2 separate regions of the Mus musculus genome follow, and region 2 is reported to be linked to region 1. The links are microRNA targets in miRTarBase. Many come from high-throughput screens and were not tested one by one. Region 1 holds a microRNA gene; the other region holds the end of a gene's coding sequence.

Evidence for each region. Region 1 holds the annotated microRNA mmu-miR-340-3p (UCCGUCUCAGUUACUUUAUAGC, at 3,720-3,741, opposite strand). A microRNA usually pairs through its seed, bases 2 to 8, with sites in the 3' UTR of a target mRNA and lowers its output. Matches are read on the target gene's strand: a 7mer-m8 pairs with bases 2 to 8, a 7mer-A1 pairs with bases 2 to 7 and ends in A, and an 8mer does both.
Region 2: the mRNA of Uba1 is a reported target of mmu-miR-340-3p. Seed matches in the 3' UTR shown: 7mer-m8 at 1,330-1,336.

The regions. Positions count from the first base shown.
Region 1 is chr11:50,068,503-50,073,502 of GRCm38, reverse strand. It overlaps Mir340 (microRNA 340), which reads right to left and starts at 3,801; the gene lies at 3,704-3,801. It overlaps Rnf130 (ring finger protein 130), which reads right to left. Exons shown (of 9, transcript NM_021540.4): 3 at 2,082-2,332.
Region 2 is chrX:20,681,682-20,686,681 of GRCm38, forward strand. Uba1 (ubiquitin-like modifier activating enzyme 1) reads left to right here. Exons shown (of 26, transcript NM_001136085.2): 24 at 222-323; 25 at 428-528; 26 at 697-1,498. The coding sequence ends at 832. Among named protein-coding and RNA genes, the nearest start is that of Cdk16, 4.2 kb to the right of the region's middle.

The DNA of each region.
Region 1 (5,000 bases):
AGAGCTAAAACAGTGCAGAGAGAAATGTATAGCACAAAATGTGTGCATTACAAGAGAAACCACTTCAGTCAAATGACCTGTTGACTTGATCTAAAATGTAATGCTTTAAACATTTAAAGAAAATCTTTGTGTGATAAAGAGCTTTTTTACAATTGATACCAAACATACAGTTTCAAGGAAAAATTCATATTAAACTTTACCAAAATTAGAAAATCCTTAACAATTTGTTTTTCAAGACTATTAAAGTGACTGAATAGACAAACTGGGAAGAAAATATTTTAAAGCACATTATCAGACATAGCAAATATCATATCTAAATACATAAAGAGTCTAAAAACTCAATGGTAAGGAGTGGTTAAGAGCACTGGCTGCTCTTCCAGAGAACCTGGGTTCAATTCCTAGCATCCATACGGTGGTTCACAACTGCCTGTATCTCCAGCCCCAGGATATCTAACACTCTCCCTATTTTCCAAGGTGACTGTATGCAAGTGGTGCACAGAGACAAGGATTTAAAATCCTCAACAGTAAAAGACAAAGAATTCAGGAAGAAAACAGGGAAGAGACTCAAGACATTTCACTGAAGCACTTGAAAATATGCTCAGGGTAGGGAGATGGCTGTCAGCATGGTGCCTGCTATACAAGTATGAAGACATGAAACTACATTTCTGTACCCACAAACTTGGGTGCAGTGGACATAATACACACACACACACACACACACACACACACACACATACACACACACACACACAGATGCTCATATAGGTGACAATGGGAGAAATGCACACTATAATCACAAAAGAAGTGTTATTCTATCAAATCATGTCAAGATGTGGAGAAACTGGAACAGCCACACACTGGAAAAGGGCACACTTTAAAAACAGCAACAACAACAACAAACCTGAATTAAACATTTATTTATTCAGTATTATACTTTTATTCTAGGAAAATGAAAACTCATGGTCAGACAAAAACCAGTACATGAACATCATAGCTAATTTATTAGACTCCCTAGCTGAAAATTATTCAGCTATCCTTCAATAAGTGAATAGCTAAGTAAATTATAGTACATCCATACCGTGGAATAGTACTCAGCAATAAAAAGAAAATTACTTATGTGTACAGCTTGGAAGGACTTCAAGGGAACTCTGCTGAACAAAGAAGAAACACAGCTCTCCAGGTGAAGTACACTCTGTCTATTCAACACTCTTGAAATGGCACTAGATGAAGATTAAGTTAGTGGTGCTGAACGGTTAGGGGAAGGGAGAGTCTCTGGCTATGAGAGAATATTGGACCCTTTCCTTACCAAAAAACAAACAAACAAACAAACCTGTCCTACAGCTTTTGTGCTGAGTACATGAATCTGCATGTAATGGAGTTGAACAGAAGCACACATGTCCATGAGCACATATTAAACAGGACAGCTCTAAAGACATCAGTGGGCCCAGTACAGCCATGGATCTGTGCTGTGATATTCACTACTGTTGGGCAAGATGCAACCACTTGGGAAATGGATCTCTATTGCTTCAATAAATAAGAGCAAGGTTACCACTACCCTAATACTAAAAGGAGCTGGTGATGCTGACAAAATGCAAACAACCTTGACCGAAACCACAAGACACAGGACACAGACCTGTGCTCTTCTGAGATGCCAGTATCAGGAAGCAGTAAAGAGACAGCACAACTAAATGTAACACACATTCTGGCCTAACTAATCTGGGGTTTTTGTTGCCCTTAAGGATACTTCTAAGCAGTTCTGGAGAACCTGAGAGAGCCGATAGGTCAGGAAATGTACTGAAAGGACATTCATTTACTGACTTTGATAGTTACAGTGTGATTATGTAGAACAACATTTTCTTTCATTTCTTTTTCTTTTTAAAACTGAGATAGAATATGGCCTGGAACGCCTGCGTAGTCCAACTGGCCTCAAAACCCCGAGTGCAGGTATTACAGGGTACAGCACCATACTTGGCATGTTTTTATCTTGTTGTTGTTGGTCTTGTTTTTAAATATATGACATAAACAAGTATTATCACAAGATCCTCATGGATTACGGCTGGCTAGAGTACTGGTTAGCTCACCTGGTTCCTGTCCCGAGCATTTGTGTACCTGATCTTCTGAATGAAGTAGAATATGAGCCACGCTGAAGAAATAATCATCAAAACAATAAAGGAGATTGACACGAAGACTAGAGAGCCACGGCTGAAGTTCTTTGGCGGCATTCGAGTTCCAACAGCTATTGTCATTTGTACAGAGATGTTTTTCTCCAGATAACTCAAAATATCCTTACCCCTCAATTCTGTTATCATGACAGCAATAATATCTCCCGTGCCTGTAATGTAAAACAAATACACAGACTAAAGTGACATCTGAAATTCATAGACACATCAAATAAATATACACATATGCTCCATAGAGAAATTACCATAATTTTCACTAAGGTTTATAGATTCCAGTTCAACTGACATGAGGCTGCAGCTGTGTAAACTGACAGGCATGAGAACATGTACAGTGCTCCAAACAGGTAACGCATAAAGCAACTGTGGTGTTAACAATGCACAAACTGCCTTACCGGTGCATTAGAAGCACTGTGAAAGCAGCCACCTGTGACTAAATCAGGTTAAGTCTTCAGTAGAAAACCTTTCTATAGCAATCAATCTGGAAAGTTCTGACAGAGAAGCACTGTCATTTACAGTCTGAACAGGTGGTCCTTGCACTACTCATCCTCACACGCACTGCTGAGCAAGGACTGCTCTAAGAAACAGAAAGAAGGGTACTTCTTAGGGCACACACTTGGCTATGGAGTGACAAGTGCCGAACGGCAACATCTTTTACCAACAACCTTTGAAACTAACTTTGGTCTTCTGTCTACAGTAAAGCTCCTTCCAGGGCACTTCTGGAGCTCAAACGCAACAATTTTCCCACCCAGTTTGGAGCCAGCATCTCACATTGCCTCGGCTAGCCTCAGACTTGAGTTTTATGTTAGTTTTCCACCTTGTTTAACCATGCCCAGCGCACTCAAATCCTCTAGGCAGGCCCAAGTTTCAACTTTCTGGACTACTACCCATAATGATACCTAAAACCTTCAGTTCCTAAAAGCTGTTCAGAGTTCTGCCCACAGGCACAACTTTTATAAGTTAATTACAAGGATGGTTCAGTTGTGTTTTCAAGTCCTTTTCTCACATGGCTTCAAGGGCCTGTTTTAAGTCAGAGTGAGCAGCTACTCACCAAGGTCACTTTTGTGAGTATGAAGGAGGATTGTGCATCCAAACACAAAATACCCTCTCAAAACAGCAAGCAGAGACCCCAGACCTGACCTTTTGAAGGCTCTGTCAACAAATATTAGAAACACTTGTTTTGATTTCTTGTTACCTTTAGCAGTCAAGATGAGACACAACAGAAACTCAGTAACAGAAGTTTTGAAAAAAATATAGCTCAATGGAATATATATTTGCATAATACTGTATTCAAAACGGTTTATTCACTTTATTAGAGTAGTAGTTTACCAGTTTATTTTTGCTTAAAAAATCTATAAACAAAAAGGAGACAACAAAATTAAAACTAGCATTATTAAGTTAACATCTGCCTCTGGTGAGTGAGTTAAAAAGAATCATAAAAGAATGCTAAACCAGTTTAAATTTCCATTTAGAAACCTTAAGTTTGTGCTTTTACAATGTTGATCAACAGGCATGATCTGTGGTGTTAAGATACCAGGTATGGCTATAAAGTAACTGAGACGGATCCCACAAACGACATATGACAATCAGTCTCATTGCTTTATAATCACACCAAGTACAATTGGTTTTAGAAATCAGTTCTGAGGCTCCCTCTTGAAGACTCAAGCTGGAAGTGGGGAGAGCTGCACAGGTAGCCAAGGCAACCAATCCAGTAATTTCCTTAACCGAACACTAAATGGGCGCGTCAACTAATCTCAACAGGAAGCTGTTTGGGAAAGAAAAATTTAATTAGTTCAACACTTGTCAATATTCACTGTTAGGAGGACAAGAGTGAATAGATCTCACTGTAGCTTTATCATCCTAGCAAAAAGAGGAGACTGGGCAATGTTGCCAAAGGAGACTGAAAATGATCAAATAAAAAAGTACAGCAGCACATCTGATATTAGTGAAGGCAGTGATCTCTTACAGAAGGTGATGAAGCAAACTACAAACCCTCCTAGGAAAAAAGTTTCTTTCTCCCCAACATCTAGAGCTGGGCTGGGTTCAAAGAGCCTAACAAGATGGCTCAGACATTTACAAATGGGGATGGGACTAAAGAGATGGCTAAGAGCACTGGTTGATCTTGCAGAGGACGAGGTTTGGTTCCCAGCATCAATATGGCAGCTCATAACTACTGTAACTCCAATTCTAGAGGGAACAGACACTCTCTTCTGGCCTTCGAGGGCTCTGTACACATGGTGCACATAGACTCATGCAGGTATACACACACACACACACACACACACACACACAATAAAAAAGTAAATAAACCTTAAAAACAAAACAAAAAACTCTTGGGAGAGTTGGTGCAGATTCAGGAGGGATGATGACAACAGAGGAAACTTAACCCTCAGGATAAAACTAGGATTAGAGTAGCAGTAGCTGGTAGGAGAGAGGGGTTAATTAGACTGAAGTAATGGAAACATTAAACAGATACAAAGAATGTGACCAGATCACCCCTATGCCTGTGTTCTGAAACACCAAGACATGGCTTTGGAGTTCAACAATCATGCAGCTATGTGTTCCTTTTCTACTGCTGTGGTTAAACATCATAGCCAACATAACGTATACAAGGAGGGGCTTGTTTGGCTTATAGTTCCATCATGGTGGGGAAGAATGGCAGCAAACTGTAGGTAGGAACTGGATGCCAAGAACTCACACCTTTTTAAAAACACTGTTAATTTCAATTATGTGTTTATGTGTGTAGCTTTGTGCATGCAAGTTATAGTTGCCTGTGGAGACCAGGAGTCACAGACCCCCTGGAAGGGGGGATACGGGCAGTTG
Region 2 (5,000 bases), not on the chromosome of region 1:
GAAGATAGTGGGTAGAAGATGAGAATGGGGTTTTCCTTGTGGCATACGACCTGTCATTGTAAAGGTTCAGTGTTTACTCAGTGACATGGGAGCCATGAGAAGGCTTTGAACAAAAAAGGTTATGATCTAACTTAACTGGGTCTGAATGCATCAGGGCAGGGAAGGCAGGGAGGGCAGGGACTTCTGGAATGGACCACATCCTATTCTCTTTCTTATTGCAGTACTATAATCAAGAGTGGACATTGTGGGATCGCTTTGAAGTACAAGGGCTGCAGCCTAATGGTGAGGAGATGACCCTCAAGCAGTTCCTTGATTACTTTAAGGTAAGGCCTGTCTCCCTCTCCCCTTACCTGGAGGACAAGATGGATAAATTACTTTTTGGCCCTCCTGCCATCTAACACTGCTGATTCCCTCTCCTGCCTTCCAGACAGAGCACAAATTGGAGATCACCATGCTGTCCCAGGGCGTGTCCATGCTCTATTCTTTCTTCATGCCAGCTGCTAAGCTCAAGGAACGATTGGATCAGCCGTGAGTAGGCTATTGCCAGGCAGGCTGGGAAGGGCCCTGTGTTGGGTGGGGAGCCTCAGCTTTTGAAGCTTTCACTCCTACCCATCACCTCCCCCGCCCTCACCTACCTCCCCTTCCTCTTGCTTTGCCTCCTTGGCCCTCTTCCCTTACCCTCACCCCTTTCCCTAGGATGACAGAGATTGTGAGCCGAGTGTCAAAGAGAAAGCTGGGCCGCCATGTGCGGGCACTGGTGCTTGAGCTGTGCTGCAACGATGAAAGCGGCGAGGACGTCGAGGTCCCTTATGTCCGATATACCATTCGCTGATCTCCGTGCATTCCCCTAAGCCCCAGTCCTCCCTCCTCAGATCCTTTCCAATCCTGGTTTCCATTTGGCCTCAGGCAGTGGTCCATGTAGCCAAGCCTGGCCTTCCCTATTACCCAGCAACCTCAAGACCCTCTCACCGCTGCTTTGTACCTTGTTTGGAACCTAAATCCCAATAAAAGGATAATTACCCAGATGTAGCCATCCTGGCTGTCTCCAAGGAAGGAAGAAGTATGTCTAGAGTTCTCTGGTTCAAATAAGTACCCCAATGGGCTACTCCAGCTATAAGCTTTCTGGGCAGAGAAAACTGGGAATTGATATCTTTTATATACTCTGCATAACAGACATGAGGTACCAGTGAAGTTATGCAGACCAGTACCTGGGTCAATATGATTTAAGTGACTTGAACTGGGTTCAAACTCTGTCTTCTCCATGATCACTACTAGCTGCCTCCATCCACTATGAAGAATACACTTAACAGTGATCAGGTGGGGGCTGGAGAGACGGCTCAGCTCTTAAGAGCACTGACTGCTCTTCCAGGGGTCCTGAGTTCAATTCCCAGCAACCACATGGTGGCTCACAACCATCTGTAATGGTGGGTCTGAAGGGAGTGACAGTATACACACATACAATCAGTCAATCAATCAATAAAAACAGTGATCAGGCTGCAAGTGCTAAGTTCGCATGTTTTGGGCATTCTCCCTTGGGCAGATCCCTTCCCCAGTTTGAAGCAGCCAGACTCTGGGCCATCCTTTTGGTCTTTTGAGACAGTCTCTATTTAGCCCTGGCTGGCCTGGTACTCACTCTCTATACCAGGCTGGCCTCAAATTCACAGAGATCTGCCTGCCTCTGCTTTCAAAGTGCTGGGACTGAAGGCGTGCGCCACCACTGCCAGGCCAAGCTGACCTTTACAGTCATAGTTCCCCACAGCACCAGGATTGCCTGTACAGTTATTTCAAGTTCATGCTGAGGAGCCCTGAACAACCCAGTCTAAGGAACATCAATGTCATGAGGCATACTGAAGGTTTTTCTTTTCTTTTTCTTTTTTTCTTTTTTTTTTTTTTTTGGTTTTTCGAGACAGGGTTTCTCTGTACAGCCCTGGCTGTGCTGGCCTCGAACTCAGAAATCCGCCTGCCTCTGCCTCCCAAGTGCTGGGATTACAGGCATGCACCACCACTACCTGGCTCATACTGCAGCTTTTTTGGATATACTTGACTAAGGATATCTGGAGAAGAAAGTGTTCTTTTCTGCTTCAGTCTGCCCATATATCCTCCTAGGAGCTACCTGGACCTTATACCTTCCAGAGAAGAGCTGGCGCTGGGGCCAAGGAGTAATTGGTTAGTGCAGGTAGTAGCAGGAAGCTTATCAACAGCTCCATCAAGCCCACAGCAGCTGTGCTTCATTGTTTTAGCTGAGAGTGCCAAACAGTTGGGAACACCAACCTGGTTGGCTATCCTGGAGTTTTTCCTTCATTGACTTCTGCCTCCAACATAGCTGGGAACCAGTTTTTCTGTCTTATTTAGGAGTGTGACCCTTCTCCACTTCAGTGAAATAGTTCATCCCGTCCCCAAACTTGGCATAATTCCCATCACAACCTGTCTCCACTTCTACCTCCTGAGCTTTCTCCTGGCCCTAGGCAGTGAATGCTCTTGCCTACCTCTCTGTCTATACTTTTTTTTTCTTGGCCTGATCTGTTGGATTCACCTTATTCTTCCATATAGTTCTGTTTTACTCTCCCACCATGCCACTTTGGGTAACAGGCACTTTGCTTCTGGTGTCTCATGGTGATAGTAACTGTTCATGGTGAATGGGAAAGTTTTCCCACTGTCAGCACTCTATTGCTGTTACTTCTCTAAGAAGACACCTGCCACCTGCCCATTGTCTCACCCCATTACAGGCAAGCACTACATACACTGTTGTTTGTACTGGTTTTCCACCATCTCAGTTCCTTTATGGGCAACCTGCATACTTTGTTCTCTAACTCTTCCATTGCAGCTGATTCTCTATAGACATTCCAGTCTCTTTACCACCACTACTCCTGGATTCCTTTGATACTTTACTAGTATCTGACACCCTTGTTTATCAAAACCAGCTGTAATCCTAGCATGATGGAGGTGAATCAGAAGTTCAAGGCCAGCCTGGACTACATGAGACTCTGCTTTAAAACCAAAAGATTTAAAACAACCAGTTACCCTATAATTCTATGTCTTAGATCATACATACTCTTTTACTGTTGTATGTACGCCATTACAAGACCAAACTGATAAGAAATGGGGCTCAGCAAAGCCAGGATTGGGTAACTGTTGAGCCCCCTGTATCCAGCAGATTTGCAAATATTTGCCATCTAATTATTCAACCATTTGTTTAGTGCTGACTGCTAGGCACTATTATAGGTATTTGGTACATATTACCATCATAAGGCTTATGAAACTTAGAATTGACAATAAATACAACTAAGGTAAAAGTTGAGGGGCTGGATAGATGCTCTTCCTGGGTTTGGATTCCTGCACCTGAATTTCTTCTACTCATGACCATAACTCAGGTTCCAGGGATCTCATGGCCTCTTCTGGTCTGGACACAAGGTACAAACATGTACAGTTAGTTATACCTGCAATGCAATATATATATATGTGTGTGTGTGTGTGTTTCCTTCATGGATAAGGGAATCAGATCCCCTGAAAGAGGAGTTACAGTTGTTGAGCTGCCATGTGGGTGTTAGAAAATTGAACCTGGGTCTTCTGGAACAACAGCCAGTGTTAGTGCTCTTCACCACGGAGCCATTTCTCCACCCCTAAAATAGTTGAAAAAAGATAATCTAACATGACTAGAACAGTAGCTAGTGTTTGTCTAGCATGCACCAAGTTATGGGTTCAATCTCCTGTTCTGCATAAACTGAGCGTACTGGTACACATCTGTAATCCTAGAACTGGGGAGGTCATTGGAAGAGAATCCAGTGCTCAGGCCAGCCTGGCCTACAGAAAATCTTGTCTTGAGCCATGTTGAGTTCAAGACTCACATGCTAGAGCCAATTCTTGCAAGTTGTCCTCTGACAAGTGTGTTCATACACAAACACACAATTTTATTTATTTGGTTTTGTTTTTTTCAAGATACTGTTTCTCTGTATAGCCCTGGCTGTCCTGGAACTCTCTGTAGATCAGGCTGGCCTCGAACTCAGAAATCCGCCTGCCTCTGCCTCCCAAGTGCTGGGATTAAAGGCATGCACCACCACTGCCTGGCTAACATACAACTTTAAAAAGTATATTACATTCATTTAATTGGGGGAGAGGCATCCCATAATGTCCATATGTAGGTCTCTCCATGTGAGTCCAATCAACAGAACTTAGGCAGTTCAGTTTGGCAGCCAGGTGTCTTTACCTGCTGAGCCATTCTTCTCAGTCTTGCCATTTTTCTTTTTTAAAGACAGAATCTCTATGTAGCCCCCTGGCTGTCCTGGAGCTAGCTATGCAGGCCAGGCTAGCCTCAAGCTCACAGAACTGTCTCTGCCTCTTGAGAGTGCTGGGATTCTCTTCAGAGAGAGGGTTGCGCCACATATCTGGCCTATACATTTTTAAGTTTTTTTTAATGTGTCTCTGTGTTCACGTGTGTGTGTGTATGTGTGTGTGTGCGTGTGTGTGTGTGTTTTAGAGTATGCCATGAAGATGCTTGAGGAAACTAGAAGAGGGCATCCTCACTATGCTGCATTATTATGCTAAGGCCCTTAGTGCCACACTTTTTATACTATTGGCCAAAGTGATAACTATAGAAAGTAATACTCTGATGAGAAAAGGGGAAAATGTAAAATGAAACATTTGTGTCCATTTATGTTTATCCACTTAATGTCATGTTTTATAAAACTTCTCCTGGAAGCCGGGCGGTGGTGGCACACTCCTTTAATCCCAGCACTTGAGAGGCAGAGGCAGGCAGATTTCTGAGTTTGAAGCCAGCCTAGTCTACAGAGTGAGTTCCAGGACAGCCAGGGCTATACAGAGAAACCCTGTCTCGAAAAAACCACAACAACTAAAGAAGGAACTGGAGATACAGTGTGAACCACTTGATGTGTATGCTGAGAACCAAACTCTGGGGAGCAGCAAATGTCTGTAACCACTGAGCCATTTCTCCAGACCCAATCCCATTCATTTATTTTTTTCATTGTTTAAAAGTTGATCAATGA